4 linked regions of the Alligator mississippiensis genome follow. The protein of the gene in region 4 purifies or fractionates together with the protein of the main gene of each other region. This does not show direct contact. Links are inferred from orthologs where the notes say so. Each region holds a gene or a part of one and is shown on either strand. Other genes may lie near its edges. The genes, in order: MNT, YAF2, BRD8 and MAX.

Region 1 (7,888 bases), on a different chromosome or scaffold from region 4:
ACTCAAAGCCTCACTGACCTGCGCCACTCTTGTCCCCTTTTCTGACTTACTACCATTGCCCTGCCCTGTGCACGTGATCTTTGCTTGTTGTGGCACGCTGAACAGAGCTTGCAGGCTGTGGCAAGAGCTGTATCTTTGTTCTGAAGATGTGCCTAGCTCATTTCTGGGGGCCTGAAAAAAAATACCCCACCCCCCCAACCCAAGAGGATGATTGCATGATAAGCAGCACAGCCTCACACCACACCTCATGCATCCAGCCTGTTCTATTGGCACACGGTGATCAGAGTGTGTTAGTGAGGCACCACAATATGCACACCAACCAGGGAGTAAGTCTGAACATGGAGACTGTGAAGCAGATGCATGAACTGAACCCCTTTTTTTATTTTTGAAAGCTGTGCTGCTCCTGGGTGTAGGCGTGACGCTTGGCCTCAGCAATGTTAGCCCCAGTGTAAGAGGGGGTGTTGTGATAGTCTGTAGGCTTACACTGGATAGTTTCCTTCCTTAGTTATCCCGGAAGCTTTTCTACCCATTCCCTCCAAGCTGCCCTTCTTCATAACATCCACTATCTCCTGCATGACTCATCAGTGAAACAATAGATTTTCAGCTACATCCCACAGCAATGACACACAAAGGGAACAGATCCTTGCTTTTGCAGCAGGTATACACCAGTGTCATTGAGCTAATGCTGCATTACAGCTCCATCACCCTTTACAACATACAGACAGAAAAATACACACATAAATGGGAGAAACGAGACTGCATAGCACAATTTTCAAGAACCTGGTTTTAAAATTCAGTGAAATTCACTGTATTAATGCTTCACCCCCCCCCCCCACACACACACAGCTCCTCTCTCTCTCTCACACACATACACACACTGCCTTTTTTCCTCTGGAAAAGGTCAACCTTGTTCTTATAGGAGTGAACTGCATTGGATTAGGGTCAACAAAGAATATAGGGAGGGCACACAGGAAAAGGGTGGCATCCCTGCCAAGCAGTATTTGCTATCTGTAATTAGGATGATTGGACCACGCTGCTGAAAAGGTGATGCATTGGAAGCAGGGTTTCCCTACCCTATTGCTTAACCTCCGCAGGCCTGCCTCGCTCTCACAATGGTCAGAAAGGCCCTGCGAGTTCTTTTTTTTTTATTCTGAAGTAGATTCACGGTGGAAGCTATTTGCATGAGATTTCCCCAGCCAAAACCACCCCCACAAAGCACAAGCAAAGTGAAATACCCCCCACGCTGCATCAATTCTTTATCGGTCCCAGGAAGATGATTTGAAAGCTGCCCTTAAAACCCATCCAAACACAAAGGGAACCTCCCTAGGAGCAAGCGGGAATCCCTGGATCAGCCCGAAAGAGCGTGGAGTATAATGGAGGTTAACACAGTATCGATTTCACCACAACTGTGTGCATGTGCGAGAGCAAGAAACAGGATGTTTGTTAACTGCAAGCAAGAATGAAACAGTCATGGGGAGTGCAGATGGGGGGGGGGCAATATTCAAATATTCTTGGATGACCTATTTTTTATTCGATTTTCAGTCTTTCGGCCCAGAACAGCTCCCTCCTCCCAGCCCCTGCAGGACTGGGTAGCTGCCATGGGCAAGCCGAGAGCGGAAACCTCCGCCGGGAGCCCCCCTCCCTCCTCCCCCGCCCGTGGCCAGAACGAAAGTGCAGCGGCGGAGCAGCCCCGCAGCGCCCCGGAGGGCGGGGCCCGGCGCACGTGGGAGGGGGCGGGGCCTGCCACGTCATCCGCCCCCGGTTGGAACTAAGGCGCTTGGAACGCGGCGACACGCAACATTCCAAGGGGGAGGGGCGGCCCGCGGGCCGGGCCCGTCTGCCCACGAGGGATCCCGGGGACACGGGCGCCCCGGCCCTGCACGTTTCCAGGAAGGGAGGGGATGTGCGCACACACACACACACGCACGCGGGAGGGAGGAAGGGAGGGAGGAGGCCGTGTGCAATGTATCACACACGAGGGAGGGAGGAGGAACTGCCGCGTATCATCTGACGCTCCGTGTCATTGCATTATGCAAAGGCAGCCTCAGCCCGCTCCGCTGGAGCCCTGCCACCGCCCTAAGCCCACGACCGCGGAGGCAGATCCTCCCCACCAGGAAATGCGAGCCCAGGCATGAGCCTGCCGGCCAGGAGAACAGCTTGGGGGGGGGTGCATTTTTGACGCATTGAAACCCCGTGTCTCCCAACCCATTCACGATAAAAACCCGTTTTCAGGAAAGAAAGGGGAAAAAAAAACAAACCCATGCTTCCATGGCTACTTACTTTTCGCATGCGACTGTTTGCACCGTTTAAGCAAAGAGAAAAACTAATCAAAGAGTCTGTTTGCAGCCTGCGAGCGAGACAGGCTCCGGGATCAGAGCCGAGCCGGGCTAGACCCGGGGGGAGGGGAGGGAGGGGAGCGGATCTCCGGGAACCCCAGGCTCCCCCGAGCCCTTGCAAGGATGTGTCAGCACCTCCCTCCTCCGAGCTCCGCTCCCACCCCGCAAAAAAGCCCGAGCCCCCTGCCTGCCTGCCACCCTCCTTTTATTCAAGGGGGGAAGATGGTTTCACCCCCCGCTGCAAAATCAGCTCGAAAAGCAAGAGGCGCCCTGCACGCCCCGGCCCCGCAGCCGGGTCTCGGGCCCCGAGAAAGGCGCTGTCGCTTCCCCGCCGGCGGGAAATGGTGTCCTGTGTCTTTAAAGAGCTCGGATCCCGGTTTTCCGCGCTGTCCCCCCTTACCACGTGTCTTCTGTTGTTGCTGGGCTTGCCATTCCAGAAACCTGGCTGCTTCCAACAGCGTCTCAATGCTCATCTCTCGGGCTGCCTTGCGGTGGAGGGGCCACAATCCCGGAGGCTCGGATAGAGGGGGTTCCTTCGCCTGGTCTGTCCCCCCGTGCAAAAATGCCCCTGCAAAGCACCCCCCCAGCCCAATCCCCGGCGAGTCTTGCAGACAAGAAAAGGGTTTGCAACAAGATGGCGATGAGTAACAGAAACACAACAAGGAAAAAGGACTGACACTGCCCTGGGCTACTACAGGCGGGCGACGGGGGAAACCCGGCCTGGATCCCCGCCGCTGGCCGGACTGGGGCTGTGCACGCCGGGTGCAGGGGTGGAGTTAACTCCGGGCGAGGTGTCTGCGGGGGGGGGGAGGGCAGGTTTACTCCTTCAATCTCTCTGCTTTATGGATTTCGTTTTACTAGTGGGTGCTCCAGGGAGATGCGCATCTCACCTGCTCAGGCCATATGATTTTGAACTGATTCGACCTGGAACATGAAATAGAGTCATAATAATATGTACAAAAGATCTCACCCCTCTTGCAAACTGTCCTGGCTAGGCCTAGACCCTGTGTCTTTACCAAAATAGATTCATAGATGTAGGGTTGGAGGGGACCTGAGCAGATCATCTAGTCCGACCCCCTGCCCCTGGCAGGAATGAATACATGGCTCTTATGACCCCTGCTAAGTTAAAGCTCAAATGACCCCAGCTAGGTACCCAGCTAGTTTGATATATTGCAACTGGGGAAAAAATGTCACCCCTCCTTTAAACCATCCTGGAGAAGCCTAGATCCTGTGTCTTTACCAAGATATATTGCGACTGGGGGAAAAAATCTCACTCCTCCTGCAAAGTCTCATGGCTAGGCCTAGCCCAGGGGTAGGCAACCCCTGGCACAGGTGCCAGAGTGTGGCACAGTCACAAAGGCATTTTGCTTGGCACGCACACCTCAGGGCAGATGGCAGCACAGCCCCGGCCACCTCCCTGCCACAATAAGGATCGGGCCCCTTGTGGCTCCCCCACCAGTGGTTCCTGGCACACCAACATCTTGTAAGCCCAGTTTGCAGATGTTCTTGGCACTCTGTCCAAAAATGTTGCCATTCCCCGGCCTAGACCCTATGTCTCTACCAAGATGTATTGCAACCAGGAAAAAAAATCTCACCCCTCCTGCAACCCATTATGGCCTAGACTCTGTGTCTTTAGGAAGCTTTATTGCAACCTGGATTTGTTGTTGTTAGTCATGGTGGGGAAGGGATCTGAGAAGGTCACATCTAGTCTACCCCCTGCTCAAAGCAGGACCAGCCCCAACCAGATCATCCCAGCCACGGCTTTGTCTAGCTGGGTCTTAAAAACCTCCAAGGATGAAGAGTCCAGCACCTCTCTAGATAACCTGTTGCAGTGGTTCACCACCCCGCTAGTAAGAAAGGTTTTCCTAATATACAACCTCAACTGCCCTTGCTGCAACTTGAGCCCAAGGCTCCTTGTTCTGTCATCTGCCCCCACTGAGAACAGCCCAGCACCATCCTCTTTGGATCCCCCCCGGCAGGGAGTTGAAGGCTGCTACCAAATCCCCCCTCAGTCTTCTCTTCTGCAGACTAAATAAACCCAGTTCCCTCAGCCTCTCCTCAGAAGTTGTGTGCCCCAGCCCCTGAACCATTTTTGCTGCCCTCCACTGGACTTTCTCCAATTTGTCTGCATCCTTTCCATAAAGCAGGGGTGCAGCCACTGGAAGCTGGCCACTGGGAAGCTAATTACAAGACTTGTAGGGCGTCTTGTCTGCATGGCATTGGACAGGGCTTTGGACTGCTACACGATGCCCAGGGCCCAACGCCTGACAGGGGCAGGCCAGTAGTGGGCTTAGGAGGGGGCAAACCAGGCAACCGCAGGAGGCCCCACACTTTATAAAAATAAATTACACTGAATATTTGTTTGATCAATATTGTATTAAGATACTTTCATTGCAGTTTCATGGCTAGGGCGAAGTGAAAATGAAATCGAAAACGTCCGACTTGCTTTTAGGTCATCAACATTAAGGGGCCTCAAATGACTCTCTTGCCCAGGGCCCCAACAACGCCCTGGGCAGGGCTGCAGGAGGGAGGGGGCTGTGAAGGGCAAGGACCGGCAACCTTCTTTAGGAGCTGGCAGCTGGGCTGTGCCGAGCAGCGGCGAGATGACAGCGGAGGGGTAGAGATGGGCTCCCACCCTCCGAGCCGGGCACAGCGGACTCCGGCGCCGAGTTTTGCAGCGGATCCTCCCCCCGCACTGCGTTTGCATCCTATTAAAATATGTCACCCGGCTGCGGGCCAATGGGCTGGGAGAACAACACGGCATGGAGCAGCTCCACATGGGCGCCCTGCTCCGTCCGCCGCCCGCGGCGCCCCCTTTAAAGGGCCCGGCGCCCGGGGCTCCCTGTTCGCCGCCGGCTGCTCCCGCAGCGGGGCACGTGGGCCGGGGAGAGCGGGGCCAGGTCTGCAGGGACGCTGGAGGCCGCGCCGCGCCCACGTGGGTGCTTGCTGCCCCGAGGGAGGCGGCGCCGGGGTTGGGCTAGGTCCGGCATCGCCACGTTTTCCGCCTCCGCCCCCCTCCCGGGCAGCGGGACCGGCGCGATCCGCGCAGACTGCGCTGCCCCGGTCCGACAGAAGTGGGGCAGGGAGGGACGGAGGCGGGATCATCCCTGTCCAGCCCCTCCCGGCGTCGTGCATCAGCTGAGACAGCCGCCAGCCCTGGCACGACACAGCCCCAGCCTCCCAAGCGGCCCCGGGTAAAGCAGGGGAAACCTGCCTCCCTGCAATGCTGTCAGTACGTGCTCCAGAGATCCCGGGGAAAACCCGTTCCCCTTCCTGGAGCAATGCCTTCTCTTTAAATACAGTTTGGTTTGAACAGTCAGCTTCTCGGCAGTAAATAACTTGGAGCTCGTTACCAAAGTGTCCATAGATCCACTCCCAGGCTCAGAGGCTGCAATGGCAAAATCGGTCTTTGAGAAGCAACCTCCCCCCTCCCTCTAGTTATACCAGGAGCCAGCAGAATGATCCCTAGGGCACTGTGGACATCTCCTTTCTCTTGTGTGGAAAACCTCTGGACTGATCCCCGTGAGGTTACTGTCTGTGCATTGAAACCAGAATCAAACAATACTTGTTATTTCTGTTGCACCGTCTGTCTGGAGGACAGAAGGCGTTTGACTGACTACCGTTAATGTAACAAGCCTCACAACACCCTCAAGTGGTAGGTAAGATAAATACTATCCTAATTTTGCAGACAGAACCTACAGATCAGAGATTAAACTGTTCAGACCAGGTTGTAAAATGAGCCTGTAAAGCTAAGAACAGAACCTGGGACGCCTGACTCCCAGTTCTACAATATCGCAAAACCACCTTCTTCCTATTGTATTATTTACAGAAGACATCTAGGACACAACTGTTTAGGACTAAGGATCAGATCCAAAGCCCAGTGAAGACAGTCAGAAGACTCCCTTTGACTTTGGCAGGTTTCAGATTGAGCCTGAAAAGACCAAGCAGGAGAAAAGGGAACAAGTGCAACCTAGTACAAAATCACAATTTGATGAGCAAAGCAAAAAGCAAAATTTGATGAGAAAGTCAGTGACCCAGAGGTAAAATTTTTGCAGCTCCTTTGTGGCTTCAAGCGTAACTGATGAGACACTTAGCAAAGTTATGCTGAGAAGAGACAGAAGGAGTAACAATGATCCCTACAGTGATGATGAAGCAATTAGAGAAATCTTGGGCTGTTATCAGCACTCTACTTCTGCTGACCTTCATGGAGCAATGCTGACCTGACACATCTCCACAGAAGCACACCAAACATTTGGAGACAATTATCAGTTCCTCCAATCTATTTACTTTTCTTTTGTCCCAATCCCTCCCCCAGCTGCTGCTCCCACCCTCATCCAGCATTTGGGATAAGATGGGTACCAAAAGGATGCAACCACCCTGATGGCATGACTGTAACACCAGCTATGCACTGAAGCTTCAGTTTTTTTATGGCAGAACTGCTATTGGTCCCTAGAGTTCATAATGAGCCATGGCCATCTGCCCAGACCAACACCATGGCCATCAGTAAGGGATGCACCTGGGATCCTCAGCACCACCAGACTCTAACAGGAGACAGTTGAATCAATAGATACTGATCTCCAACCTGTGATGCAATATAACTCATTGTAATCCTGCCCCACTTCCCCTGAATGAGGCCAGAAAATACTACCCAGTCTCTTGCTGGCATACCTCATTGCATCTACCATTTGAGCTAAGAATGTGAGCTCCTTTAGTTGTAAGATAACAACTGGCTGTGTGGAGACTGAGACATGATCATATGCTCAAAGCTAGTGTATTAGAAATTCTCCCTAGGGTTAGCCTTATCCCACCAGCATGATTTTAAATGTGCTTGTCCTTGCCCATCCCAAGGGCACATCTGGGTTTGACATCACAGTGTAATTCCTAACATAATCCCTTCCCCCATCACAGACAGTGGATACAAGTCTAAATGCTCTAGACCAGGAGTGGCCAGCCAGGGGTGGCACATGGCAAATCAAAGAGGGGAAAGGCAGTGGCAGATATGGCAGGGAGCAGAAAGTAGAGCAGCAAACCAGACAGGAAGCACAAGGCAGAGAGCAGAAGGCAATGCAACCAATTGAGTAAGGGAATGGCACGGGAATTGCACTTGGGGTGAATTTGTGGCGTGTCTACCAAAAAGGCTGGCCCTCACAGCTTTAAACTTTGCCTTAAAAATAAGGTAACCCAAATCACCCACCAAAACATATTTTTTCTTGCCAGAGGACCAGGGAAAAAGTTGCCTTTTACCTCTACCTTGCTAATAGCAGCTAAGTCCTAGAAAACTCAAGAAATGGAGGAAAGGATCTTCTGGCATAGCCCCGTGCCAAGAATCCTCTCTTCTTCCTCAGCACGCTGCCTTACTCTGGCATCAAGACTACTCTGCCTTATCAAGCTGCTTGAAATCTTCAACATTCAGAGCAGATCGGTTACAGCAGCCATACTCATCACTTTTCATCTATAACGTAATATGAAATACAAATTAATCAGTCTTCACCACTACTGGGGTAAACATAATTATTTCTGTTTTACTGACAAGGAGACTGAGGGACAGACGG
Region 2 (7,382 bases), on a different chromosome or scaffold from region 4:
TGTATTATATGGCCCAAATGTTCAGATGTGACTTTGTTTTGGATTCTAAACAGAACTGTGTAGATGCATCTCTAGGCCAGCGTGAAGCCCCAGATTAAAAAACAGCTCTCTATGGGAACAAGGGTTTACCAACAAAAAACCAACTCAGAATCAAAGCTTACAATCTGCATGCATGTGAATCATGTACCCAAGTATCTAACAGGTATGAGTAAATCCAAGACTTGGCATAATGACAACGTAGAAATGGGATCCATTTCAGTCTTATAGGGAAAAAAGATTTCAAACAACTTTGTTTTTTTTAAGTGGGGGAAATGGAAATCAATAAATCTACTTAAACTGTGCCTAGCAAAACTTCACTAAATAATGAAAAACAAAATTAAATCTTCATTTTTTTTACTGTATAATATCACTTGTTTGCCAGAGCTCTCTTTTACCCAATGCCACCTTTAAAAATTAATACTTTTGTTCAAGTGATTTTCCAGAACAATAAATCACTATTTTAACTGGCTTTGACTCCTTAATAAAGGCAATGAGAGGCTGTCATCTTCATTTGTACTAAACTTGTTTGGGGAATTTTGCACTCACTCTTTCAGCATTATAATTTTCTGCTGAATGTTACTGGTCTGTAAAAAAAAAAAAAAAAGGTATAGCTGTGAAAACTGATATAAGAATAAAGCCAATCTTCTTTTTGTCACTGAATAACACCATATTCATGAGATGTATTTTTGCTTACCAACCATACCTGACTGATTTTCTCATAAAAATTCCTTCTACAAACTACCTTTTTAAAACTAACCTTAAGTTATTAAAAATACTTTAGAAAGTGAATTACGTTTTTCACAAATCTAATACATGCACATTGCAAATGCAGATGAGTCTTTCATATAAAGTTAATCTATTCACTTTTGCAATTCTGTAGTTCAAACACTGTTTTATCATACGTTTGTTGATGGAGTTGTATTCAGTATTTCCATGGCTGAAATAAAGTTTACTTCACTCAATAGGACTGTGGTTTCTATTATTTTTAGACTCGTTTTTGTTAATAGGATGAAACAATAAGCATAGTCATACAAACTTATACACACAAAAGACTGCACAATTGTATTCTTGTTGATTCTGCAGAATTCCCCATCCTCCTATCCAGGTTCCACCCTACTAATATTAACCTACAGAGACATAGGTCAAAACCAGTGAAATCACTGCACCATTTTGACAGAAAAAGGGTCTTCTAATAAGTCACTGATTAGTCCAGGCAGGGAGGTGGGGGGCTTCTGCATCCTATAATTCAGCCCATTTAGGCTCCTTTCCAGAAAGAATAAATTCCCCACCTCTACAGAAACTAAATCTGCAGGACAAGGTGGAACAAAATGGACAAGAGAATGGGCAGGCCTTTAAAAGCAGTAGCTTTCCACCTTATTAAGACTCAAGGCACCCATCAGGAGGCTCAGGGCGCCCCTCAGGAAATAGCCGCATCTTACTTTTCATTCCTCTGTTGCCTACAGAAAGACAGGAGGGCAATTCTTCCGCTGCTGCATGCTCAGAAAGACCCCAACAGGCCAGACTGCCAACCATGCCGCCAACTTCTTTTTGGAAACCTTGTGGCACCCTTGGAAGAGTCTAATGCACTGGGATACACGTGTGGTGGGGGGAAGCACTCATGGGCACCGTCCACAGCCCCTTTCGAAGGATCTGATGCACTGGGATGCGTGTGGTGGGGGGAAGCACCCACGGGCACCCTCCGCAGCACCCTCGCAAGAATGCGATGCACTAGAGGCGAAGCACCCACGGGCACCCTCTGCTGTACCCTTGCAAGAATCTGACCCACTAGGGTGCATGTGTTGGGGGGACACCCACATGCACCCTCTGCAGCACCCTTGGAAGGATCTGATGCACCAGGATGTGTGTGGTGGGGGAAGCACCCACGGGCACCCTCCGCAGCACCCTCGCAAGAACATGACACACTGGGGGCGAAGCACCCACAGGCACCCTCTGAGGCAGCCTGACAAGACTCTGACCCACTGGGGTGCCTGTTGGGGGACAAAGCACCCACAGGTACTGTCCGCAGCACCCTTAGAAGAATCTGACGCACGGGGGGAGGGCAATAGAGGGGAAAGCTCCCATGGGTACCCTCCGCAGTACCCTTGCAAGAATCTGACCCACTGGGGTGCATGTGATGGTGGGAGCACCCATGGGCACCCTCTGCAGCACCCTTGTAAGAATCCAATGCGCTGGGGTGCGTCTGGGGGGGAAGGACGCATCTGGGTGAGAATCACTGCTTTAAAGGGAGACAGATGAGCAGGACAAGGTGGGGGGATGGGGCTGGAGAGGGCAGGGGCGGCTGCATCCGAGGGGAAACGGGAGCAGCCCCGGGGCCCGGATCCGCCTCGCCCTGCGCGCCAGGCCGCTGTGTCCCCCCTCCTCCCAGCGCCCCCGCGGCCGCCGCCGGCTTTTGTTGTGCGCGGCGGCACAGCTCGGCGCTCCGGGGTCCCGCGGGCCGGGGCCGGGGCGGGCGGTACTCACCGGGTGGAGGTGCCCTTCCTCACATCGCACATCATGCACTTGAAGGCCTCGGCGCTGTTGCGGAAGGTGCAGACGCTGCAGTCCCAGTAGCCCTCGTCCGAAGAGGGTTTCGGCTGCCGCTTCGGCCTGCAACGCACACCACAGCGGGAGGGAGACAGGCGCGGCGCCCAGCCGCCCCGCGCCCGCCCGCCCTGGCCCCGGCCCCGGCCCCGGCCCCGGCCCCGGCCTCCCGCCCGCGCGGCCCCCGCCCCTACCTGGTCGGGCTCTTCTTGTCTCCCATGCCGGCTCCAGACGCGTCCGCAGCCCGGCCCGGCCCCGCGCCGCGCGGCCCTTTGTGTATGTGTCACTGAGGAGGAGCGAGCGAGCGAGCGAGCGAGCGCGGGCGGGCGGGCGGGCGGGCGGGGGAGGGAGGGAGGGAGGGAGGGAAGGAGGGGGCTCTGCCTGCACCGGGCCCCGGGGAGGAGGAGCCGCCGCCACCTCCAGCTGTCGGGGAACTCCTGCCGCCGCCGCTGCCCCCTCCCGCCTCACGTGCCGCCCGCCGCCAACCAGCGCCCCCCGCAGCCCAGCAGCGCCGGAGGAGGCGGAGCAGCAGCGCACGCAGGGGCAGTCAGCGCCGCCGGCCCGCCCAGGGGGAGGCCTGCACGGCCGCCCTGCGCCCGGGCGCGGGACCCCGGAGCGGGCGCTCCCCTGCTGAGACCTGGGGAGGGCAGGGAGGATTCCCCCCTGCTCGGGCTGTGGGGCCTCTTCCTGGGGTTTCTGGAGGGCACGTTAGCCCTTGCCCGCGCCGTGGCCCTGCTGTCCCGGGCTGCGCTGGGGTGTCCTGTCTTGTGGCAGGGCTTGTTTTGCTAAATTGTTCTGGGATTAGGGTTGGCAACCCTGCAGGATTGCCCTAGAGTCTCCCGGATTAGATACAGATCTCCAGGAGAGCCACCTGGGAGATAAATGATAGGGCATTCCTTAAGCTAAATATTAAATGTTGAATCTGACTTATACAGTAGGCCCCAGTGGGTTTTTTAAATGTAATAGGAATGTGCATTTGCCTCCCTGACCTCAACTCTACGCACAGCGCAGGCCACTGGTGCCTCCCCCTACACATCGCCAATGATGCACGGTAATGTGTAACTGATACACACAAGTTCACATTGTCTGTCATGGGCATGTGGGTGTTCCAGGCACCTCCTGGAATAGATGCAAACAGAGTTGGGAACCCTAGTTGGGGTGGGGCGGTTTGGGTAGGGGTGGGCCTGCCTTAGGCAGGGGAGTGGCTGGACCAGTGGTTTTCAATGTCTGAGGGGCCCATAAACATGGCTACCAGCAGTCACAAGGGCTCCACTCAACATTTTTTAGGGATCTGCAAATGGAAAAAGGTTGAAAACCATTGGACGAGGTGACCTCTGGGGGTCCGTTCCAGCCCTGCTCCTCTGGGGTTCCAGTAGGTGAGAGAACAGACCTGCTCTGCAGTGATGGCACGTGCGTTTCATGCAGGCTGTAAACACATTGCTGTACTGTCCACCTTGCATACCTGTGACAGCCATTTGTGTTTACTATTTAAGACAGTCTGTGCTGTCATGTTGTGTCCTGTATAAAGGCTGATGGCAGGCCAAGCCTCAGAGAGCCAATATTCAGTCCAAAAGATCCAATCCTTCCACCTCTTCAAACTTTACTTCTCCTTCTCATGCAAAGACCAGGCCTCAGAAATCCATGGGTTGGTCAGCTGGATAAGGGTATCCATGGGACTGGATAAGGGTATTTCCCTGAATATAAATCTGAAAGCAATGTGGAGGTTTCATAGCTAGTGCAGAATGAGGCTTCTCACCTTCTCTGTGGGGTGGGCAAAGGGCTGGCTCAGTATGCTACTACTGCTACTTCAAGGCCTTAGTGGGCGCATCTACACAAGATCTTAATATGTTTTAGACTAAGTCTAGTGCGCATTAGCGTGGCTGGCAAAACTGCGCTAATGCCCAATATACTTAGTGTAATGCACTTTAACATCACAAAAAAGCGTTTGCTGTAATGCGCGGTAGCATCAATTACAGCACATTTAATACCTATCATTACAGGTAGTAAACTTAATGTGCTGTGATTACGGTGCATTAATGAACATGTAGACATGCCCAGTTATTCTCTTCTGAGGAATTAATTGATCTGGCCCTGAGTAAATTCAAGACTATATTACCATCTAGGGCTAGGAACTTCCAAGATAGCTGCATTCCTCTGGAACAATGTTGGTCAAAGCTCAGGACAAAGAACACAAAGCCACAGAGAATGAAGCATTCTCTGTTGATGACAAATGGAATAACAATCCAGATGACATTTAAACTAATTCAGAATCTGATCATTTCAAATCGGTGTGGAAACCCTTCCTTCTTTAATCAAGTTTTCACATTATTCTAGAATGATATTTGTAACAGCTAGCCCATTCCATGATAAAAATGGTACCACTCCCGTGAAGGTCCATTAGGAAGCTAGCCATGGAACTGCATTAGGGTGAAAAGCATTCATATATTCAGGACAATCCCTAGGCAACACAAATTGGGGCAACTACCCTGGGCCCCATGCTCTGGGGGGGGCCCACAGAGCCAGGCGGAGCGGCCGCGGCGACTCCATGCTGCCACCAGCTTCATGTCTGGCCATTTGGCAGTCCCCACACTGCCTAATCTGCTGCTGGCTTCCTTGCGTCCTGGGGTAGGGCCCTGAACAGGCTGATTTGCCTTGGGCCCCACACCCCACTCTGATCATCTCTGCATATATTAATATCAGCAGTAAGCCAGAATGCCTCAGCTCAGGTGTGGCAGGGCACTGTTGGTGTCTGCCACGTTAAGGGCTGAGACAAGCAGTCAGCAGGTGCTTGATTGTGGCGGCCATTTTAGATCTCTGGCTGCCTATATAAACAGAGCAGTTCGGTACTGGCAGGCTAGATAGAAACATTGCCTGGCTGCAAGGCTGTAGGTAATATCCTGGTGGTACAGGCAGGAGCTTAAAGGGATGATTTGGAGGTTCCTGGTCCTGGGCATGACCTAAAACTGCACCCTGCTGGGAGTGGGTGGCCTGGTGGTGCAGGAACCCCCAGGAAATACCAGGCCAGTTACCACCCCGGTGAAAGGTGGGTTGGGGTGCCTTAACTCCTAGCCCCCATAATACTATGGGTACAAGGGGGCCAGGCATGGCTATGGCCACCTGAGCCCAAGGATGGTGTAAGACCCAGACAGGGCTAGGCATGGCTGCAGCCACCTTAAATCTCCACTGGGGAGGGAAGCCCTGTGGCCCCAGTGAGGGGGTGGGTGTGGAGCCCCAGTGAGGGGGAAACCAGAGGGCTGGGAGCCCAGTATGTGTGTGAGTGTATAGAGTTGCCTAGTATGGGGTGCAGTTAGCCTAGGGTTTGGCATAATGCCGGACCATGCAAAGTAGGGGAACTCATGGGAACTGAAGGGGCTGCGTGGTGAGGCCAGTGTGCGAGTAGCAAAGCCTGATAGCCCAGAGGAGTTGCTCGAGGAGGAGCAGGGCAATGGAGTGTGGCCTGGTAATGAGCAGTATGCCAGAGGCCTGGGTGAGAGAGGGGCGGAGTGGAAGAGGCCTCCTGTGAGAGGGGAGGTGACATGAATGTGCATGTGTGTAAAGCCCAACTTTGGACTTGGTTTGTTCTGGTCTGAGGCCAAGAGTAATATTAACCTGGATGCCATCTGTGAGGCTTGGGCTGTGGTGTAGGGGAGGAACAGAGCTGCAGATAACGCCCCCTGGCATCAGGGCAAGAATAGGCAGCCTTCCGCCTAATTAACACCATAATTATGTATCATCAAGGTGTGGCAGATGAGGAGGCAGGCGGTTGGCCCAGAAACAGGTGGGTGGGCCAATCACAGACCAGCCCCGAGAAAGCCCTGTGTTACATCAGGTCCACGGTAGGCCAGCGCTAAGACCTGCCCATGACTGCTCCTTGCCATAGCTGCAAGGTCTTGGTGCAAGTGTACCTTCTCCCTTCCCTCCCTGCACCTTAACTCCTCAGGCTAGATCTGAAATTGTGGGCTATAGGTGAGAGAGGCATATCTGAAAGAGGGAGAGGCAGATCTGAAATTGTAAGCTAGCTCACCCTCAGGTCCCCATTCCCTGCAGCAAGGGCAGAGGAAGGATGTGGGAGCCTGGAGACTTGCAGCCAGAGTGATGAGGGAAGCAGCAACTGGGTGAGATCTAGGGCTGGGTGGGTCACACGCACAGATATATTTTTGTTGTTATGGATTCTTAAGTACAAATAAAAAAAAAAAAATATTGCCATGGGATCCTCATCCCTGAATGGGACTCCTAAAAACTGTGGGAACAGAAGTTATTGTCTTCACACAGTTAATTCAAATTAACTTTAAACTTCCAAAACCATCCAGAGTCTCTTGCCCTGGCTTCCTTCCCACCCCCAAGCCAGCATTCACAGTTCTGTACAGCAGTGATAATAGTTCATTCCTTTTAAAAAATTTTAAGTCTGAATATCCTGCTCTATTTGGTATGTGGGGTTTTTTTGGTGTTTTTTTTTGTCCTGACTTCTTCCAGCCCTCCTCCATTACAGTCCACCAACACCATCACTCTTCCTGCCCTCCATACCCTTCACCGTATTACCCTATTACCCTTCCCAGTTCTTTTGCTTTTGTTCTTTCCCTTATACTGTCACACAGAGCCTAGTCTGCATGAGGGATACAGCTTAGGGGCTCCACTGCTGAGCTGGATACGTAGTGGGGGGTCCAGTGCTCAACTGGATACCTGGATGCTGTGAAGAAATCGTAAGATTAGAAACAATGGGAAAACCTGACTCCTTGTGCCCTTTTCCCTCTTGCCCTTGCTCCACTATACATAGGAACATATTCTTTCTTCCAACTGAGAGA
Region 3 (7,662 bases), on a different chromosome or scaffold from region 4:
CCCATAACAGACAATTCTACACTAACTTTTTCACAGAGCAAATGCCTTTCTCTACTCATACGAAACACGTGTGGTTACTAACCTAGGCCAGGAGTGTTTGCATTCCTGTCAAATTTTTACCCTCGTTAATTCAACTTTGGAAAAAGACTTTTACTATCCATGCCTACGTATAAATCCATCTCAGAAGCCCATGTCAGTCATTTATGCACAGCAGAGACATAAATACTACTTTCAAACACTACAAATTTCCTTAGGCATCAATTACCAACACCAGTGCCCAGATTCAGAGCAAGAGATGAACACTACAGCTTTCACTGGTACAAAGCTAGTGTCCAGGAGAAGAATAGGGTTTCATTTGCCCCTCCCTAAACAATCCTCAAATACTGCAGGTACATAAAAGGCAACATAAAATATTAGCTCTCCTGCTCATCATTCTTACTAGCTTCTATTCTCCCAAATTTTCAGTATTCTGAGCTGTAATTTTAAGCACACAATTTTTGTTTTATAAGTTTAATTTGTTTCATTTTAAGATCTGCTGTATAAAAAAGAACAAAGCTATTTTAGTATGCAATCTATGTCCTTTTAAAAGTAAGTTATTTTTAAAAAAGCAGCATTTTTATAGAAATTACCACACACTATGTTGCCTCTCTAGCTTCCTCAAACCAGCAAGCTGAGAGCTGTGCTGGGAACTGCAGCCTAGATGCCTCAATACCTGTAACCCACTGGTTCAGGGATGAGTACAGGAGTGGTGTGAATGAGCACTCAGGATAGCACAATGACCAGTTCTAGAACCACTTACATTTGAAATGGTCCAGTCCTTTGAGCTAAGTAACAAAACATACAAAAATGAGCAAAACGCTCTAGGTAATATTACCTACCCAGCATCTCCTGTTAGGTTAGGGGGTAATTTCAAACAACGGCCCTACTCTGCTCACTTTCCACACCCACACAGTGTGACCAGATTTCTCTGCCGTGCCTGCGCCTCCTTGCTCAGTAGCAGCCAATGCACTGTCTGATGCACTGATGACACCTCCGCCCCGCCAGAGGTACTGCAGACACCACATGCCTCAGCCTTTGCACTCACTTGGGAGTCTCTGTGGTCTCCAGGAGTTCCGAATACTGAGATGCGCAGTGCTAAGGAGAAACAGAGGGAGTCAGAGCACACAGAACAGTCAACACAGCCAATTCAGTTTATTGGCAAAGCTCTTGGGTTCCCTCCTCTAACAGCCAGGTAGCCTTTGAGCATGTTTTCATGTTTCCCATACTAGTACTGTAGCAGGAAAATACTGCCACAGTACTAGTATGGGAAGCTGCAGTGACTTCCCAAGCTGCTGTGTACCCAATGCATCTATAAGGAGGGTCAGCTAGCACCACAGAGTCAGCTCTGTAATGCCAAATAAAAACTAGGAAAGAATAAATTAAATTAAAAAGGTGGCCCCACAAATTAACACGTCCTCCCCTGGTTTTCCAAGATCCTGATCTTTGAACAGTCATACTCCAAAATATCAGTGCTAGTAATAGAACAGGTTGAATACAACATGATGCTTAAAATTACAAATCTAAACTATGATTTCAAATCAACAACCAAAAATCTTTGATTTAAATAATAAATTATAATCCCATTTTGCATTTATATCGTTTAGCTATTCGCACTGAATGAGCTGAATAAGTGAAATAGAAAAAACACCTCTTTTCATCTGCAGAAGACTTGTGCAACAGTTTGGCTGGCGCTGCAATAGACTCAAGGCCAGGTGCTCAGACAGTGACTTCCACAAATTTAGGGGTGTTGGACCTAGCCGCGTTGGTCTAAGGACACTGGAGGTCAAGGCTCGTTGGGTAAATCCAATATCACTCCACCCAGGAAGAGCACAGACCATCTGCGGATGCTTCCTCAGCCTGACAAAGGGTGTTTGTGCCCAAAAGCTGGCTTAGAAGAATGTTTCCAACTACTTGAGTTGGTCTGATGAGAGATATCGCATTTATCCAAAGACTCGTCTCCCACAAATTTAGCAATTTTGCTTTCTTTGAAGTTTGGTAGCATGCGTGTAATGTGTTAGCTCTGTCTAATACCCTTTTATCAAATTATATCAAGTTTAGACCATAAAACAATATACTTTGTTTTATTTTCACATATGCTTTCATATAAATTTTAGTTTTAGAGAAAAACGAAGCAAAGCTGTTTGACGTTTAAATTAAAAGTCTTATTTAACGTTTTAAGTGGCCACTTTTCTACCCCTCTACTTGGCCGAAACTGGAGTCCCTTGAGCAAGAGCTCCCCGGCAGCGGGAAGTGCCTCCGCCTCCCCCTTACCTTCTGAGAGAACCAGTCAGGTGGGCGGCCCGGCTCGGCAAAGGGCTTGATGGCCCTGCTGACTGACACCCTGCGGGGGAGAGAAGCGGGTGAAGCCCTGCCTCCTGCCCTCGCCAGCGCCCGCTCAAGCCACACCGGGCTGCTCCCGCCGAGCTGACGCCGCTGCGACGCCTGAACAGCTTCCCTGCTCGCGGCGGCGCCGCCTGGCCAGCGCCCAAGCGCAGCCCGAGCACGGCTGATGGCTCGTGCACCGGCCCGCGCAAACAGAGCCAGGATTCAAGTCCTGCTGAACGGCAGCGACAAGCCAGGCCCTCGCCTCGCTTGTCCCGCAGCCCGGCTCCGTCCCCGTCCCCATCCCCGCAGCCGGCACCACCGCGACGACGGCCCAACCCCCGCCGCGCCGCGGCTCTCACCAGTTCTGGTCGCCGCTCCGCATGACGGAGGAGGCCAGGCACAGCTTCTCGCGGACGGACCACGGCTCCGTGGGGCCGGCGCTCAGCAGCTTGTGCTCTGCGGGGACGGACGGGCCTCTCAGGGGCGGGCGGGCAGGGCCTGCCCCCCCTCGGCTCCCCCAGCCCCGCCCGCCAACTCCCCGCTCCGCCCCGGGCCGCCCCGGCCCGTCCCCGGCCCCACGGCACTCACTGCCCGTGCCCGCCGCCATCTTCGCCGCCAGGCCCGGGCCAGAGGCGGGGCCCACCGCAAAGGTCGCCGGGAAGCGGCGCGCGGGCTGCCGGGAAGGCTGCCCGGCCCCGCCCCCAGCCTCTCTCTGGCCGGCGGCTCGGAGCGCGCGCTGATTGGCCGGCGGCTCGGAGCGCGCGCTGATTGGCCGGCGGCTCGGAGCGCGCGGTTTGAAACCACAGCACCCGCTGCTGCCCCCGAGGTCAGCGTGGCCCGGCCCGGGCCGGGGGGAGGGGGCGGCTTCACTGCCTCAGCGCAGCCTGAAGGACGGCCGGCCGGCCGGCCGGGGGCCGAGGAGGCTGTTGCCGACCGACCCGCCCGCCCTCCCGCCCGCTCTCTCTCGCAGGCCCCGCCATGGCGCAGGCCGCGCTGTCGCCGCTCGCTCCCGCGCTGTTCTCGGACGAGGAGGCCGCGTCGTCCCCGGTGCTCGAGTCTACGGCGGCCGAGCTGGGCCGGGCCGCGCGCCGGGACCTGCTCTCCGACTTCTCCGCCATCTGGCCCGCCGCGGCGGGCGGCCCGCAGGTGAGGGGGGCGGGGCCGGGGCCGGGCGGCGCTCGCGGGCCTCACCCGGGGCCGTGTGTGACCCCCGCTCTCCGCAGGCGGACCCCGAGGACGGTGCCAGGCTGAGGGTGCACCTGCGGGTCCGGCCTCTGACGCCGGCCGAGCTGGAGAAGCGGGAGGACCAGGTGAGGCGGGGGCGGCGGCTTTGGGGGGGGAGGGCCCCCGCCCCCCGCCCCCCGCCCCGGCTGAGGCTCCGCACTCCTCAGGGCTGCGTCTGCATCGAGAGCCCGGAGACGCTGCTCCTGCGGGCGCCCGCGGACTCCTTCGCCATGCGCAGCACGGAGCGCGGCGTGGGCCAGGCGGCGCACAGGTTCACCTTCACGCAGGTAGGTGGGTGCCCGTGGGCGCGGCGCGGCACGGCGGCCCTGCCGTTCACGCAGCTTTGCGCTGACGGCACCGGGGCCGCCCGCACCAGCCCCTGGTGTCTCCCTTCCCCCGCCCCGTCCCTGCGTCCGTCTGCTGCGCGTTGTCTCGTGCTCGCGGAGCAGGAGCCCTCGTCTTGCTGTCTGTCCGGTCGGCGCCCGGCGCAGCTGGCCCCCGGGCACGTCTAGCGCTCCTAGGATTATGTGGATGGAGCAGCCTGGGCCGGCTCTGCCGGGGTTCGGGTGGGGTCGGAGGTGGGTGGCAGTCCAGGACGAGCAGGGCTGCAGCAGGCCGGAGAGGGAAGTCCCGCGCACGCCCCTGTGATCATGTTTGCAGATCTTCGGCCCAGACGTCGGACAAAAGACGTTCTTTGACGCGACCATGAAGGAGCTGGTGCAGGATGTGCTGAACGGGCAAAACTGGCTGGTTTATACCTATGGCATCACCAACTCGGGGAAGACTCACACCATCCAGGGTGAGCGAGGCATCAGGTGTTGGCATACCTGGTCTCCTCGGAGGGAAGAAGTGCTGCTGTGTTGTGACTGAGCTCTGCTCACTGCTGTCCTCTCCTCCAGGGAGCAGCAAGGACGGTGGGATTCTGCCCCGCTCCCTAGCACTCATCTTCAATAGCGTGGGAGAGCAGCTCTACCGAGCCATGGATCTCAAGCCCTCGCTCTCCAGCGAGGTGGCCTGGCTAGACAGCCGGCAGGTTCAACAAGAAGAGACCAAGAAGCTGGCCTTGCTGCACGGGGGATTACGGGAGGTGAGTGCTCTTCTCCGTCCGCTGGGGAAGGACGAGGGTGCCCTGCACCAGCCTCACGTTCTGCCTGTTTCCTAGGAGCTGCTGACTCCACTGAAGAGGAGCCACAACACCGAGTCCCAGCTCCAGGCTGCCACTAGCAGCAGTTATGACAGTGGAGTGGGTGGCCTCTCGTCTACCAGCCAATTTGCCAACCACTCCGAGAGCAGCCAGCTGGACAGTATGTCTGGGACCCTACTGTGCCGGGGGAAGGGCAAGTCCTGGGTAGGAGGGGATGAAGCACACTTTGGGCAGGGGTAGAAACTCTCCCTTGTCTCCTCCAATCTGCTGGGGCTGCTGCAATCCCTACCACCCCCTCTGATTCTCCTCTGAAACCTAGGGTCTCGCTGGGCTGATCCAGACTGTGTCTCGCTCCATGCCTCGGGAGACGTGCAGTTCTCCATATGGGTCTCCTTTTTTGAGATTTACAACGAACAGATCTACGACTTGCTAGAGCCGGCTCTGCCTGGCCCGAACCGCAAGAGGCAGACGCTGCGGCTGTGTGAAGACCCGAGCGGCAATCCCTATGTCAAAGGTAGAAACTGACCCAGCAGCACTCTGGGGAAGGACCCTGCTGGATCATTCTCTCTCCTTCAGGAGACAGTAGTAACCTGGGGTGGATAAGAGAAATGTCGAGTGGCCAGGAGCGCCCATGGAAAGCAAGCAGTAGTAGGGGGAGGGATACTGCTCTAGGGCAGCAGCTCTCAACCTTTTTTGTACCAGGACCCATTTGTGAACATCAGCGGCCAGTCCTGCCCCAGTGCCTCTCACTCTTGACCTGCTAGGCCCCAGCCCCCCTGTGTGTGGGTTATGGGGGGCGGAAGGGGGGTGGGGCATGGTGGGAGAGACCCAAACAGCTCCTCATAGGTTGAAACTCTGCAAGGGAAAAGCCACAATTTCCTGCATTTTTCTTGTGGGAAAAGGAGAATCCATTTTTTAAGTCTGTTTGTGACCCTTTTGAGATATTCTTGTGATCCACTTTTGGGTCTCGACCCATGGGTTGAGAAACGCTGCCCTAGGGCATTTTTATACACAGTCAGCAGTTCCCTTCTGCTGAACTTGGGCTGGTATCCCTCAGGAGGCCCAAACAATGCAGGGAAGTTCAGCTTGGCTGTTGGCAGCAGTGAAGCCTAGGATGCGGTAGGTAGCCAGGGCCTGGGAAGGCAAACCACGTCTATCTGTACCACTTTCCCACCTGTCTGCTCTTTCAGATCTGAACTGGATCCACGTCCAAGATGCCGACGAGGCCTGGAAGCTCCTGAAGCTGGGTCAGAAAAACCAGAGCTTTGCCAGCACTCACCTGAACCAGAACTCCAGCCGCAGGTTGGGGGCAGGGAGAGGAGAGGAATGGTCTCCAGCAGGTTGTGGCGGGGAGGGCTCATTTTATGGAACTAGGTGCTGGACTGGTGCCAGAGGTGGTCGTTGCATGTTCCATTCAAGTGTATTTTTTTTTTTTTGTCCTTGCTCCCTGCAGTCACAGCATCTTCTCCATCCGGATTCTTCACCTAACAGGGGGCAGCAGTGAGATGATCCCCAAAATCAGCGAGTGAGTGCTTGGGGATGATCCTGCCATGAGCAAGAGGGGGTTGGACCAGTGACCACCTGAGGGCCCTGCTAGCCTGGCTCTGATTCTCAGATTGCATGAGCTCTCCAGGCCATGGTGCTGTTATGGATCTTTGGGGGCCTTCAGAAGGTGGAACTCACTGCGGGGGTGGAGAGCAGCTGTTGTGCATGTGTCCCACTGCTCCCTTTGGAGAGAGCAACAAAGCTGCTCTGGGAAGCACAAAAACATCCTGCATCAGCATGAGCATGGCTGACTGACCCCATCCCTGCGTCCAAGGAGGCCCTCATGACAGCTGCTGCTGAGCAGCTTAACACTCATGTCTGGGATGCAGCAAGCTGGACATACTTGCTGGATCCGTGCTTGGAAAGCAGCACCCAACAGGGAATTTCTGGGTGAGCTTGGGCCCCTGACCTGAGCTTGGTAGTGTTGTTTGAAACAAACCTCCTAGAAGAGATGGCTGAGCTGTCCTGAGGCTCGAGTGGGTGCATGACAACACATGGACTGTAATCACAGCAGTGCCCTGGGTCTCTTCCAGACTGTCCCTGTGTGACCTTGCTGGCTCAGAGCGTTGCAAGGACCAGAAGAGCGGGGACCGAATGAAGGAGGCAAACAACATCAACACCTCTCTGCACACGCTAGGCCGCTGCATTGCTGCCCTGCGCCAGAACCAGCAGTCCAAGTGAGTAGCTTGGGGACCAGGGTGGTACGGGGGCTACCCACATACTTTTCTGCAGGCTCAGCACATTTGTGCTCTTCCAACAGGCTGAAGCTGGTTGTGGTTCCCTTCCGGGACAGCAAGCTGACCCGTGTGTTCCAGGGATTCTTCACAGGGCGTGGGCGCTCCTCCATGATCGTCAACATTAGCCAGTGTGCGTCCATGTATGATGAAACCCTGCATGTGGCCAAGTTCTCAGCACTCGCCAGCCAGGTCAGTGAGATGCGCAAGTGCTGCGGTCCCTGGCAGTGCAGGGGCTTCTCTGGATCTTCCATGAACCCCGTGGCTGGCTTGGATCTCAGGCCTCCTCCAGCTCCTATGCAAGTGAGCTGCTGCCCTTCGGTGCAAGTGGGTGAGGCAGTCCTTGCCAAGGTGCACTGTGCTCCCAGGTCCTGCCATCTTGCACAGTGAGGCTGGCTGTGACAAGAGAGCACTGGCCTGATGCCATCAGGTCTGCAGGCAATGTAGGCTCATGTCAGCAACCTGTTTTCTCTTCAGCTTGTTCAAGCTCCTGCAAAAGTGGTTCTCCCATCCATCCAGTCCATCATGAGGGAACACAGACGTCTTAGCCAGAGCTCAGAAGCAGGCCCAAAGCAGGAAATAGAATCTGACGAAGAGGGTGGAGATGAAGCAGATGTGTCCTTGTATAACAAGGAGGTGGGTGGTGTCTGT
Region 4 (7,610 bases):
AGCCACAAGAACTCTTCAGAATGCCCAGATGTGTCACAGTCTAGGCAATCCCTACAAATTAAACAATCAAGCAGGTGGCCTGAGAAATACCAAACTCTGCAAATGAATACCAGCTCTTGAAAAGCAGCTCCCTGGGAGCCCGTGGTCAAACACTGTGGCCCCGTCACCCAACAAGCCAGCCTTATTCACCAGCATTTGGACTTTGCAACCTAGATTATCTAGACTGGAGGTTTTTGGAAGTGCTGGAGGAGAGCAGCACCACAATTGCTCTGAGGCTGGGGACACAGAGGAATGTATCAGCCAAACTAGAACACTCAGAATCTAAAACCGACTCAAACTGGTTCTAAACTTGGTGTCCCCCTATAACTCACTGAAAATCAACCTGCCCAAATGAAGAGAATTCCTCCACTTCCTATATATTTGAACTGCTGCCAATAGCACAGGACATTGCTGTGTCTGCACCATGATGAGTCTTAAGCAGAAGAAAACCTTTTACTTGAGGGCACGGATCAAGGGGATGCAACACGTGCATGCTCGCTCTGGGATTCCATAGAAAACTGCAGGCCTTGGCACATGCTTGGTCCCGCCTGGCAGCCTGCCACAAGGAAAGGCAGACTTCAGAAAGGGCTCCTGCTTGTGGTCAGCAATCCCACGAGCCCAGGATCTCAGCACAGCAGCTCCCAATATGCACCTGGGTCCCCCAACCTCAGAGATGGACCCTTGCACAAACCCTCACCATTCGTGGCACCCAACCCTGCTCCACGTCCAAAACTCACACCACCTGCTTCTTACAACAGCTGCAATTCCCCTATAGTCTCAGCTGACAGTCTACAGCAGCCTCTCCCCTCAAAACAGCGAACACATAGCAAGAAAGAGTAGACACAGCCTACAGCACACTGCCAGTCCTGCTCCATACCTAACCTCCAGCGTGGCCCATGCACACCACTCCCTCCCCGACTCACTTTCATGCCTTGCCTCAATCAATCCCAAGAGTTAATCCCACCACACATTGTCCTACCCTAGATCCACTACAACATACAATCCAGTCCACATGCATCCCAACAGACCAACCTGACTTAAGCCTACTCCCACAACTCTTCCCGTTGCAGCCTACCCCTGCATGTGCCCCACAACACTCACCCCACCACCACTGCTCTATCCCACTCAAACACAGCTGGCCCCTTCACCTAGAAACAATCTGCACCCTGATGTACAGGGACAATCCCAGCCCAAAATATTTCCCTCCCCACCCCAGATCCCTGCCTATACATACCTGGCCTAGACCATCCTCCCCCCAACCTCTTCCCATATTCAAACCTGGCAGCGCCCATTTCCCCCCACAACCCTGGCCTAGCCCCTTTTGATGTCAGCCCATCCCTACACCAAGCTGAGACCATTTTGCCAATGGGTGACTGGTGCCACCTTAGTGAGGGGGGCACGTGGCCCCCCCCAGCGACAAGTCAGTGACCTGTCACAAAGCCAAGGTCTGGAACGGGCTCCCAAGGGAGGTGGTGCTCTCCCCTACCCTGGGGGTCTTCAAGAGGAGGTTAGATGAGTATCTAGCTGGGGTCATCTAGACCCAGCACTCTTTCCTGCTTATGCAGGGGGTCAGACTCAATGATCTATTGAGGTCCCTTCCAACCCTAACATCTATGAATCTATGAAAAAGCAGCTGCGGTGCTCCTAGAAGCAGGGGGGGGGGGAGCCCTCTGTGGTGTCACCCCCAGCGACCTGAGCGGCGAGTGCAGCCAGTCAGGGGGTGCACCAGCACTCACACGGGATGCACGTGCACCCACTACGCATCACCCATAATTTGGCCTCAACTTGGGTCACCGCATGCCTCACTGAGACCACTGCCCCCACTATCCCTGCCCATGCATAGACACAGCTTAGATTGCTCTGCTGCCTCCTACCCACATACACATTTGGCACAGACCATTCCCCCTCAGCACCTGCATTACTGGTTAAGATCAGTACATGCCCACCTGCACACCACCTCTTGCCCCCATCCTGTGCTGGGCTGAGACCACTCACATGCCAGGCGAGATTGCTTCCATCTGACCTCTGCCCCCCGCCACCAGGCCCAACCCAGAGCATTGCACCCCCCCTCAATCTCTGCCCAGATGTTTCCAGCACACATCCTCCCTCCCAGCACATAAATGCATCCTACTAGACCATTCTCTGCAGCTCACCCATCTGCCCTGGCCCACGCATGCCTGCCTGTCCTTGGTCCCTCTGCCCCAAGCACGCTTGCTCTTGTCACACACAAGCAGCAAGGATCCCAGCCTGTCACATGTCCTGCCCAGCTTAGCCCCCCTAGCACAAACAGATGTGCGCCGTCCCACCCAATAGGAAGACGTGCACTCTGCAGGCGAGGGTCTCCCCAAGCATCGCACACCTGTGCCTGCATCTGCCAGTCTGGTCTGCCCCACGTGCCCCAGCTGGTTCACCCTGGCGGGACTCCCACGCACACGGCACCCGGTGCCTTGTGCAGCCCACGCCAGTGCCCACCCGCAGCTGGACCCACCCCACGGCCCTCCCTGCCCGCGGCCGCGCCTCCCCCGCCCCCGCCGGTCGGCCCATGCAGACGCGCGGCCGTGGCGCCGCGCACAGACGCCGGGTCTAGGGCGAGGCCCCCGCCGCCCCGGCCCCTCCCCACCCCGGGCGGCGGCGCTGCTGGGCCGGGCCGGGCCGGCGGGAAGCAAGGAAAGGCACGTACCGCAGACTGAAACCTCGGCTGCTCCTCCTGCAAGGAGAGAGAGACAGAGAAACACACGCGTTACTGCGCCGCCGCCCGCCCGCCCGCCCGCCCGCGGCACTGCCAAGCCGAGCCGGGCCGGGCCGGGCCAGACCAGACCGAGCCGACGGGGTGGGGGGGGTGCGGCACTCACGTCGCTCTCCACCTCGATGTCATCGTTGTCGCTCATACTGCCGGGCCGGGCCTGCGGGCGCTGCGAGCCGAGCCGAGCCGAGCCGAGCGGGGCCACGGGCAGCACAACAACAGCAGCCGCAGCAGCCGCCCGCACCGCGCAGCCGCCGCCGCCCCGCGGCCGCCCCTGCTCCGCGGGGGCCGCTGGGGGATGGAGTTCGGGCCGCCCGGCCGCCACCGGCGCCCGCCCCCGCCGAACTACCACTCCCGGAGGCCCCCGCGCAGCCCGGTCCCTGCCAGCGCCCCCGCGCGCCTGCGCAGTGGTGGGCGCGGTGCATGCTGGGGGCTGCAGTCCCGGCGAAGGAGGAAGGACTCCGCTTCCCAGCAGCCGGGGAAGGACACGTGGATGGGGCGGCGCGGCCCTGCTTCCGCTCGGGGGGGGAAGGCGTCGTACGGGTCCTCACTCCCTCCCTCGCAGCTCCGAGCCCTGCCCCGGGCGCGCGGGGGACAAGCCTCCTGCATAAGAGGCGGGTGCAGGCGGAGGGAGAGCGCACAGGCCCCTCCGAACAGATACTCGGGAACCAGCGCCTCGCGTTCAAGAGTTGTGAAAGACTTGGCCGAGAACCCCTACGCGCCCTTCCTACTCACTCACGGCGTGCGGGCGGGAACAGCGGCACACACCGCCTGCCCTGCCGGAGCGGAGGCCGCGGTGGGCTGCCCACTGCGGGGAGCCCCGCGCACGTCTGGGGGCACGTGCCCCCTGCCCGGGACTAAGCGGCGGCGAGTTGCGGCCGCACATGCCCCCCAGACTGACCTGCATGCGGGAAGCAGCAGCTCTCGCCTCGCACGCGGCTGCCTCCGGCCCGGCCTTGTGCAGGGCTGTGCGCAGTCACGTGGCGCCTGCGCGTCCGCCCCCAGCAGGCCCCGCGGGCTGCAAGCTGCTGGACAGCGCCCTTTCCCGCCCTGAACGAAGCACCTGCCGCCCGGGTCGGGGACTGGAGGTTTCTAGATTGGGACTTTCTCTTCCGACGAGGGGCGGGTGATCACTGCTTACTAGCGGCATGTCAGGTGTTCATCAGGTTGAAGGGGGCAGGCCTGGGTGATGGTGGGTAACAGTGGTGGTGAGCAAAATCCTGGGATGCCCTTGGCAAAGATGGCAGCTTAGGGCATGGGCGACTGGTGCCTCCCCAGGCGGGGGCAGGGAGCACTTAGCGCAACAGCAGCCAGTCAATGATCAAGGGGGTCCCCCCGTGGCTGATCACACCAATCCAGAAGTGCTGTGCTGCTGGCACTTCCGGGTCGCGCAACACTTCTGGATCAGCGGGGTGGGCTGTGGTCAGCACGATGGACCGTGGGAGGACTGCAGGGATTGCTTCTCCTGGCACCCCCACTCCCCAGCTGGCGCTCTCAGGGCGGACACCAGCGCTCTTGCCTGCCCCACCTGCCCATCACCTAAGCAAGGAGTTGCGCATTTGGTTGGCCAAGTTAACTGTGCTACCAGAACAGGCTTCTCTAACATTTCATGTTATGATTGAAAAAGAGCGTTGTCCACTGTTGGTATTAGAGCTGCACCAATACATCAGTCCAGTATCGGATTGGCACCGATATAAAGAAAACTGACTGTATTGGAAATTGGCTTGATGTAGCCAATTAATGCTCTGTGCGTGCCCACAGCCACAGCACAGCATGTAGGTAACAAGGAGCACAGCTCAGTAGCAAGGAAAGCTGCGTGTAGCTGGTAAGTCTGTTGTAGTGGAAGGGGCATGGGCAGATCAAGGCCCCCATGGTGAGGGAGGGAGTGGGGCTGCAGCAGGTGCTGCCCAGCTGGGGCAGGGTGGGGTGTGGGACACAGCTGGGGCTCGGGGGTGCAAGGATGGGGGAGCTGCTCCCACCACTGCATGCACCCCAGGAGGGCATGGGGGGGGGCTTGTGGCCCCCTGATCAGGGCAGGCTGCAGCTGTGGGCTGGGGCCAGGGCTGCACCGGGCTCTTCCCAGTGGGGACTGGGCTAGGCTGCACTCAGGGTGGGCAGTGTTGCTGGGAGGGGGGTTGAGTGGCTATGACAAATTTTGGGGTGGCTGCAGCTCCGCCCATCCACCATAGCTGCCATTGCCTAGCCCAGCCCTTGCTGGGAAAAGCCCAGCACAACCCCGGCCCGCAGCTGCAGCCCACTCTGCCCGGCCCCACACAGATCCAGGGGCACGTGCTCCCCATGCCCTCCCAGGGTGTGTGCAGCAGCAGGAGCTGCCCCCACCCCCCCTTCCTGTACCTCCCAGATGAGCTATGACTCCCATCCCGCACCCTGCCCTGCCCCAGCCCCACTCTCTCCCTCCCTCACCACAGGGGCCTTGATCTGCCCCTCCATGCCCATTCCCTCCCCACTCCCCCTTCCACCACAACAGACTTAGCAGCTGGACCCGGCTCTTCAAGCTGCCTGGCTGCGTATTGGAAATTGGATTGGTATCGGCCGATATGCCTCCTTAAAAATCGGCTATCAGTACCGGCCCCAAAAAGGTCCATCAGTGCACCCCTAGTTGCTATGGTCAGCATGGCATGGACCCAGGACTGACTTGGCAGAGGCCACACGCAGGGCTGGACTAATCCTTTAGTGTTCCTTACGCAAACAAACTCGTGAGCCCCAGGTTGGTTGAGATCATAGCCACGGCAAAGCAGGCAGAGGGGAGGGGAAGGGAGGCAGATGGGGCCGTTTGTGCTGCTGCCGTAGAGGAAAGGACCAAGGCCCCTGCAGCCCAGGGCCCTAGGCATGTGCCTAGTATGTGTTAATCCGGCCCTGATCACACAAGTCTTTGTCAATGGCAGGGCCAGAAGAGAACACCTGCAATTGTAGAAACCATTTCCATGGGGAGTGTTTCTCAGGGTTCCTGTGAGTCAGACTCAACTCAGCAGCCTGTGTGGTAAGAGATAGTCACCCTTCAGGCCTTTTATTCTGCTTCCAAATAGATTGGCGTAGCACAGGTTCCATGTCACAGTCACTCTCCCTTTGTCCCAGCCAAGGTATTCTGAGAATCCCATCTCCTCCCTTGGGATTGTGCTGCCTGGCCATCACTGGGCCAGTAACTCCTGTTACTTGCTCTGGCCCAGCTTTTGCTGGCTTATATGAGATCCAAGTGATCTCCTAGGCATCACCTCAACCCTATCTTCTCTGCATCTGCTGGGGGCCAGGTAGCTAGTCACAAGTGGGATGAGGCCCAAGTCCTTTCAAGTGCCAGCTGTCCTGTGCCCAAAATCCATCTGCAGCCCAGGGTAGAAGTAGAAGCATACAGACAGATGCCACCAAGCTGTGCAGAGTAGAAGCAGGTCAGCTCTGCAACATCATCCGTATCATTTCATAGCTTAGTTAAGGCCGCAAATTATGTATCTGGGGGAGCTGAGCTGGCTGGGGAGTGCATCCTGGATGGCAATGATGCTGAGATAGGATCAGATAACCTCAGGGGCGGGTCTGGGATTTGGCAAAGTGGGGTTCAGGAGCAGCCAGCTGAGCACCCCCCACTCCCAGATTCCACTCCCACAACCCACCTGTTGGGGAAACAGCACTGCAGGAGCCTCTGGGAGCATTTTAAAGGTCCCAGAGCAGGTGAGCATCCCCCAAACTCTCCTTCTCTTCTTCCCCCTCCAATCATGCTGCCTTCCCTGCTGTTGGGGTGGGGGTGGGGGTGGGGGAAAGCTTCAGAGCTGCTCTTGCCCACTCCTGCAGGGCTGTGCAGGGGCTGGGCTTAGCTGAGAACAGCAGTTAGAATGGGGGGGGGGGGTCCAATTTCCCAGACCCCACAAGAGCAGGGGAAGGAAGCTGCTGTTGCTGTCACTGCCCTAGGTGAGCCCAGCCCTCTCCCATACCCCAACAGTCCAGTTGGAGTAGACAGGAACAGCTCTGAAGTTTCCCCCACCCCCAGAACAACAAGGAAATGCAGCAGTAACTGGCTGCTTTCCCCAGACTGGCTCTAGCAGCACTGTCCAGGCCAAAAGGGGGTGGTGGGATGTAGCCACCCCACTGCACTCCCTCTGTATCTGCCCCTGAATAACCTCTGAATGGTATCTGATGGGGCAGCTGGGACCCAAGCATGACTGTTGGGTGTGAAATGGAACAGAAGTAGAGTTTGAGGCTGTTTTGGGGAGGGGAGGGGGAAGTTGGGGAAACAGTTCCTGAGCTCTTGGTGTAGTGCTAGTGTTTGCACTGCATGCAGGAGACTGGAAAAGACCTACAAGGAGACATGGAGGCCTCCTCTGAGCACAGACATAAGATCAGATTAGCAGTGTGTGGGGGCTTCTCATGGAGCAGCCAACCTGCGGCAACAGTCCATGTGTCTGCAAATTGTAGCAGGGTTCCCTAACCCCTGCTGCTAAGAGAATAAGAAGGCAGTGTTAGAGGGCTGCAATCTGGTGGGCGGTTAAGGCAGGGATAGCTAGAGAAGAGTAAACAGGTATCTAAAGAACTGGATAGACTGCAATAGATAGGAGCAGGCTGAGTAATAAACTAAGCAGAAACTCCTGGGTCAGTCAGATGTCATGTGATTGGAAGAGGTGGAACGCCAGTATGTTAAAAGCCTAGCTCCAGAGCTAGAAGTTGGGTCTAGCCTTGAGTTGTGGGATGGGAAGGGTTTTTGAGAATACAGGGTGTAATAAGGGACCCCAGGCAACATGGGTACTGTGGGAGGCTAGACAGCAGGTGGACTGAAGGCAAGAAGTTGCTGGGCCCCAGAGACTCCATATAATGGTGTGGACAG

Evidence for each region.
Region 1: the proteins of MAX (region 4) and MNT purify together in Homo sapiens (affinity purification with mass spectrometry; 7 studies listed by BioGRID and IntAct, with this or other methods). This does not show direct contact. The link is inferred for Alligator mississippiensis from reciprocal best matches to the Homo sapiens genes MAX and MNT.
Region 2: the proteins of MAX (region 4) and YAF2 purify together in Homo sapiens (affinity purification with mass spectrometry; 3 studies listed by BioGRID and IntAct, with this or other methods). This does not show direct contact. The link is inferred for Alligator mississippiensis from reciprocal best matches to the Homo sapiens genes MAX and YAF2.
Region 3: the proteins of MAX (region 4) and BRD8 purify together in Homo sapiens (affinity purification with mass spectrometry; 3 studies listed by BioGRID, with this or other methods). This does not show direct contact. The link is inferred for Alligator mississippiensis from reciprocal best matches to the Homo sapiens genes MAX and BRD8.

The regions. Positions count from the first base shown.
Region 1 is NC_081837.1:7,592,199-7,600,086, forward strand, and holds the start of MNT (max-binding protein MNT), read right to left. Parts: upstream 3,005-7,888; 5' UTR 2,810-3,004; coding exon 2,737-2,809; intron 1-2,736. UniProt on the Homo sapiens protein: Binds DNA as a heterodimer with MAX and represses transcription. Binds to the canonical E box sequence 5'-CACGTG-3' and, with higher affinity, to 5'-CACGCG-3'.
Region 2 is NC_081827.1:58,022,596-58,029,977, forward strand, and holds the start of YAF2 (YY1-associated factor 2), read right to left. Parts: upstream 3,028-7,382; 5' UTR 2,801-3,027; coding exon 2,775-2,800; intron 2,647-2,774; coding exon 2,521-2,646; intron 1-2,520. UniProt on the Homo sapiens protein: Binds to MYC and inhibits MYC-mediated transactivation. Also binds to MYCN and enhances MYCN-dependent transcriptional activation. Increases calpain 2-mediated proteolysis of YY1 in vitro.
Region 3 is NC_081832.1:79,523,585-79,531,246, forward strand, and holds the start of BRD8 (bromodomain-containing protein 8), read right to left. Parts: upstream 3,041-7,662; 5' UTR 2,972-3,040; coding exon 2,953-2,971; intron 2,821-2,952; coding exon 2,724-2,820; intron 2,381-2,723; coding exon 2,311-2,380; intron 1,135-2,310; coding exon 1,085-1,134; intron 1-1,084. Other genes in the region: kinesin-like protein KIF20A, read left to right, coding at 3,343-3,510, 3,588-3,674, 3,756-3,875, 4,249-4,387, 4,488-4,675, 4,751-4,892, 5,052-5,246, 5,923-6,034 and 4 more. UniProt on the Homo sapiens protein: May act as a coactivator during transcriptional activation by hormone-activated nuclear receptors (NR). Isoform 2 stimulates transcriptional activation by AR/DHTR, ESR1/NR3A1, RXRA/NR2B1 and THRB/ERBA2.
Region 4 is NC_081825.1:171,679,912-171,687,521, forward strand, and holds the start of MAX (protein max), read right to left. Parts: upstream 3,032-7,610; 5' UTR 2,928-3,031; coding exon 2,892-2,927; intron 2,747-2,891; coding exon 2,720-2,746; intron 1-2,719. UniProt on the Homo sapiens protein: Transcription regulator. Forms a sequence-specific DNA-binding protein complex with MYC or MAD which recognizes the core sequence 5'-CAC[GA]TG-3'. The MYC:MAX complex is a transcriptional activator, whereas the MAD:MAX complex is a repressor.